Xenopus tropicalis: one gene and its partner. The protein of the gene in region 2 interacts with the protein of the main gene of each other region in a biochemical or structural test. Links are inferred from orthologs where the notes say so. Each region holds a gene or a part of one and is shown on either strand. Other genes may lie near its edges.

Region 1 (2,918 bases), on a different chromosome or scaffold from region 2:
TAATATTGTTATATAATGCATATTATAGTATAATAATTACTTTATTACGCAATAAAGCAAATTGTTATCTATAGAAAAATGAGGGGATTGTTTTAGAAAGGGTCACGGTAACATCTACCCTGTTAACTAAAAGAATTACTCAATTCCAGGTCAAAGTCATGGACCCCCTACCCCACCAACAACACCAAAGACAGAGCTTCAGGCAGGAAAGTCTGATGGCAAGAGGGATGGGTCTCGTTCATTGGGAGAAGGGGGAAAACCTCACATTGATTTTGGAAATGTGGATATAGGTGAGATCAGCCATGATGTCATGGCTAATATGGAGACATTTGACGTCAATGAATTTGACCAGTACCTTCCGCCTAATGGTCATGCTGGGCACCCAAGTCACATTGGGGGTTACACTTCCAGCTATGGCCTCAGTGGAGCTCTAGCAGCTGGTCCATCTGCTTGGGCTCTGGCAAAGCAACACCCCCAAACTGACTCCAAAGCTCAAGTGAAGACAGAAAGCTCAAGTACCAGTCATTATACAGAGCAACCATCTACATCTCAGCTGACCTACACTTCACTTGGCCTTCCACATTATGGTTCAGCATTCCCCTCCATTTCCAGGCCACAGTTCGATTATGCTGACCATCAACCATCAAGTTCTTATTACAGCCATTCCTCCCAAGCATCTAGTCTCTATTCAGCCTTTTCCTACATGGGACCTCCTCAACGTCCACTTTACACTGCAATATCTGATTCTCCAAGTGTAGCTCAGTCACACAGCCCTACACATTGGGAACAGCCAGTCTATACTACACTGTCAAGACCATGAAGAGGACAAAGCTACATAACTAAGGAGGGACAGGTCCTGAAGAATAATAGGCTCCAGCATGGTCCTTTCATAGCTCATAACCCAGGTGGAATCTGGATTCCAAAAGTATCAGTAAACCCTAGATGGTTTTTACAGACCCCTGGAAAAGACAGTGACTGGTTCTTCTTTATTGAAAAGACATAAACATAGTAGGGGTAGAATAGCAGGGCAATGCAGGGATGGGGGAAGGGAATGCATTTTTTACAAAGTTTATGGACTTGGGTCTCTTGTACAAAGGGAGGAAACTGCAACATTTGCTATACCTGTGTTTTTGATCTTAGATACTGAAGTGACATTGGAGGCTTAGGTATGTACACTCTTTGTACGATAAAACAAAAGCCTCTGACAGCCAACCAAAAGCAGCTTGACTACTTACCGAACTAACCTGGGCTGCTAGACTGTATGAAATAAGGGATAGCATGAACATCATTTTTTTTTTATCTTGGGTATTTACATGAAAGTTAGTCAACAAATAAGTATAATGCATGTTAGAATGAATGAAGTTATATCTAGCCCTCTCTTGTGCTTCAAGGGCATCAAGCAAAAACTTACTATGGACACAACACAGGCTGGAGATTCAAAACCTGCAAACTTTATTCATTGTATTGTGAATAGAGCAAGCAAATGACCTAAATGACACATTAATATGTACAGTCAGATGTCCAGAATCTAGTTTAAAAACATTCTAACACTATGTTATATGGTCAGAATTTTTCAGGGTAGGAAGTTCCACTAACCCCTTTTCATACTCTGAATACCATTTGGTCCGAGGGATCTAAGTTGCTGCGTGCCAAACATGTCATTATAACATATTCAATTCTAACATCATTTTGTGGGTTAAGTGGTCAGATAGAGTGCTTTTTTCTGATTTGGTAATTTCTATTACCGCTCATTCATGATATAGTGGGAAATAAGTTGGAGGAATAAAAAAACATTATAAGAGAACAATCTAGCTAAACAAATATCCTGTTAACATGGTAGAGCCAGGAGTCGAAACACTTCACAACAAAAGCAGTGATTTTCTGATCTGAAGCTTCTGGTGCAAGAATGTTATTTTGTCTGTATCAGAGTCTTAAATACTATAATGTCTTATTTAGCTGTTATATCATGTTGTTCTCATTTCCCATGTGCAATACTCAAACAGCAGAGAGCTAGCATGTCAGTCTATTGGAACAAAATCTATAACTTGTTGTTTACATAATGACCCCCCCCAGTTACTTGTCAATGTATGTTTAATTCTACAAGTCAGAAGTATTACAGATGGCAAAAGATGATCGCTTTCAAATGATTGTTCATATTAAGGATTCTCTGCAGTAGACATTTCCAACTCTCTTATGTTACTTTTTAGAACCATTTCCAACGTGGGAAATACAGAGGATACTATGAAGTATGTTTTTCAGGATGAAAAAAATGGAAAAAAAAGTAGAGACAATGTGTAAATATAAAACTATATATTCGTATATATATATCTATTTTTGTTTGTTTCGGGGCAGCAATGTAGAGGCCGGTGCTTCTAATCCTGTGGGTAGCAGAGAGGATTATATAGAACTGGTGCCCACAGGATTAAACCAAACCAGTGAACTTTGGGTTTAACATTTTTTGGGGGGTGGGTTTTGTTATAAAGAGGGACAGAAATCCATTAACCCATTTGGAGTTAATTCTTTAATGCTTTGCTGTATACCAATATTAACTCCGATGTATAACATAAATTGTCCCTTCCTCCATCAGTTTCCATCCAGTTATCAAATGATTGTTTTTTTTGTCATTATTGCCTATATATGTAACTGTATGTGTTTGTTATTTATGTAAATATTATCTTACCCAATTCTGGCAATTTCTTTAACTGTTCATAAACATATTCAAGATATATATTGTATTAAAAAAATAAATCTTCAGACTCAGTGTGCCTTTTTAGGCAAGGTAATTCATATGAGATATAAGATCCTTCATGGAGTCAGTTGATGTCAGAATCTAGAACATATCTAGAATATTTTCTAAACAGTGTATTATTGTTATGGGGATTTAATAGATATGTCTTTAAACTTACAGTTTTACCCAA
Region 2 (2,999 bases):
CCCCAATTCAGAATAAAGAATAATATATAACTAGCTCTAGCAACTGTAAATTGATTAATATGCTAATAAACTATGTATCGGTTCCTATCCATCCTCATCCTTATTCTCCAGCGGTTACTCCAGATACTGTTTAGCTTGCCTGTAACAGGCCAAATTAGTCCCTGGCATTTTAAGTACACAGAGGCCCAAACAGCCCCCAATCATCCCAATAAATAGGGACTGGCTGTGGCACCTTACAGCAACCCCTCTGGCATTTGCCAGAATCCACAGATTGCCAGTCAGGGTTGGCCTGAGACACAGCTATGCAGGCCTCGCATGGCTCTAAACATGCCCCTTGCCCAGATCCTCTCCAGAGGCTGCCATGCATGCTGTATGCTTCTTTTGGAAGGATAATCCAAATGCGTTGCAGGTACAGATCTAAAGATAAGTGAGAAATAAATTCCTGCATGTCCAAACATGGTGCTTACTTCTTTATTCTATCACTTGCCTTGTGGAGTATAAGGGGTTCGTTGTACCTTTTCGTTTATAGAAGTAAGGATGTTATTTCAGAATGTCATGTTGCCATAATTTAAGCGCAGGGCACATAGATGCCAAATTTGTTTGTGTAGAAGCTTTTTTGTAGTTATCCTGTGCCTTAAGTTTACACATCTTTTGTCATTGCTTAGTGGGGCTTTGGAGTCTATATATAAAGGTAACAAGGCCCTGGATTAGCCTTCCAGGAAGGCGCCATGTGGAAACGCTTAAGTATAAGAGGCAGCTCATACACCCACCCTGTCCAATTTTTATCCGCTGGTGATTCAGTGTGTCTTTAACAACCTTCTGCTTCTTGGGGTGCGGAAGTGACTTGTGTGCATGTCATACAGAATATGTGCATCTGCCAAATAAGCAAAAACGAATTCCTAATATAAATGTTCATGTAGTTTGTAGTTTCCTTAATGTATTGGAAACATCCAGATGTAACTGTCTTTTTGTCTGCAAGTCTGGAATTCCCCTTTATACGTACAGTCCCCACAGACTGATTTACAAAATACGATTATTAGTACAAAATCCCACTGAGGTGTAAGTCAGATTAAATACACATGATGGAGATATTCAGCTACAGGTATGAGGGATAGAAACTGCCATCAGTTGATTCATGCTTGTGTGAACATGGCTAAGGAATTTGAAAGGCATTGTGCTCAGCGGGGATAGTAAAGGGCAGGTGGCACAATTTTTCTTAGAACTGAGAATCTGCGCTGCATCTGGTTCCCATCACCATTGAGTAAAGCTCTGGACATCTTCAGGACAACGTGTCCAGCTTCCTGTGGAGAGAGCTTCCGTAAATTACACGCTGCACATGTGTCAGGGTCAAATATGAACAGAAAACATTAACGGCTAACAGTCATTGGATATTAACCCTTCTGTCCATGACACAAAATGAAAACAGACCAAATGCAACACTTTATTTCTGTGCTGTACAACCAAGCTGCCTACACATTATGAGTAGATGGTGGAAAGAGCTTACAGTGAGAAAGGGACACATTTCTGCAAACTGATCTTCTATTGCAGTGATCATGTTGCTCACCACCCTATTTGATGTTATTCCCAGGGGTTTTAATGTTTGTGTGGCTCACCAACTCTTTTTACTTCTGAGTATGGCTCATGAATAAATAAAGTTGGGGATCCCTGGTGTACAAAAATGAAAACAGAGCTTAGTTTAACCAGGAAACAGTTAAACAGAGAGAAGTGATTAGGGCAAGGTGACTGTGCCCTTTGGTCAACTCTCCATGTAGGCAAATAGGTCAAGGCTCAAAAAAACAAAACAAAACAGGGCCCTGAAGCCTGAGGCGGCTTCTCTTTTTAGCTTTTCAAATAGACCCAAGCATGAAAATCAAATTATGGAAGATGTTAATTAAGTGCAGGTAGATTCCCATAGCACTGGAATCTCAATATCAGATTGAGAGAGACAGACTCTGTGGGGCTGGTTGCATGCACAACTTATCAACAACACGAAATGCCTTTCCGCCGGCAACAAAGAGAATCGCCAGTGGAAAGGCCTATGTGTTGATTCGTTTTTCTGAAGTTGCACACAGTTTCCTCCTGCCGGCAACTTTGTACGACCTCCACTGCCAATTCCCTTTATTGCTGGTGGAAAGACTTTTTGTGGAGATCAGTCGCCCACAGTAGCAGAGATTTATTGTAGTTAATTAACCTCCCTATGGGACATCAGCCTTATACTGTAATTCTGGTTTGCTCATTTATTAGAAGTCCCTTGTTTCTTTTCTATATTTTTAAGTGCTGAGTAACTTGCTGCTACATAAATAAATGAGGATATAAGTTAGATATTCATTAACTGTATATGTTTACCTGTACTTTTAAATACAAAAAAATATAAGATGTGTCATTTCGTAACAACAGTCACGAAGTAAAATTTAAAATGCAATCTGTTTATTTCCTGCAGGTTATGGGTCTCCTGACTAACCATGGTGGAGTTCCACATCAGCCTCAGACGGATTATGCCTTATCTCCTTTAACTGGAGGCCTGGAGCCTCCCACAGCTGTATCAGCAAGTTGTAGCCAGAGACTGGAACATATGAAGAGCTTGGATAGTCTGTCAACATCACAGTCTTACTGCCCACCAACATACAGCACCTCAGGTTACAGCATGGAGCCTGTCACAGGATACCAATATCCCCAGTATGGACAGAGTAAGTAGTGCCTTTATGCTTTAACATTTTACGCAGTGACACATCCCCAGTTAATCCTTCTATAATAAATTGAATGTGGACTAAACGTGTCCTTCTCCTGAAGCAGCAGTGTGCTTGCTCAGGAGTCTGGACTTAGCAGTTCACAAGAGCCGTGTTTCCGACATTCCTATTACACAGTACTGGAAACTGAAAGTTCACCGGGATGTTTGGAGTTTGTTTCTGTATGCATATGAGGATTAATATTTCCTTCTCAATTTGAAGGACAGTTAAACCATTTCCACTGAAGTATCCCTCTCTTTTCACGGGTAATGA

What was found.
Region 1: the proteins of pax3 (region 2) and sox10 form a complex in vitro, tested with the Homo sapiens proteins (2 studies listed by BioGRID and IntAct). The link is inferred for Xenopus tropicalis from reciprocal best matches to the Homo sapiens genes PAX3 and SOX10.

What each region holds. Positions count from the first base shown.
Region 1 is NC_030680.2:122,164,614-122,167,531, reverse strand, and holds the end of sox10 (transcription factor Sox-10), read left to right. Parts: intron 1-149; coding exon 150-820; 3' UTR 821-2,270; downstream 2,271-2,918. UniProt on the Homo sapiens protein: Transcription factor that plays a central role in developing and mature glia.
Region 2 is NC_030681.2:124,955,744-124,958,742, reverse strand, and holds part of pax3 (paired box protein Pax-3), read left to right. Parts: intron 1-2,440; coding exon 2,441-2,687; intron 2,688-2,999. UniProt on the Homo sapiens protein: Transcription factor that may regulate cell proliferation, migration and apoptosis. Involved in neural development and myogenesis. Transcriptional activator of MITF, acting synergistically with SOX10.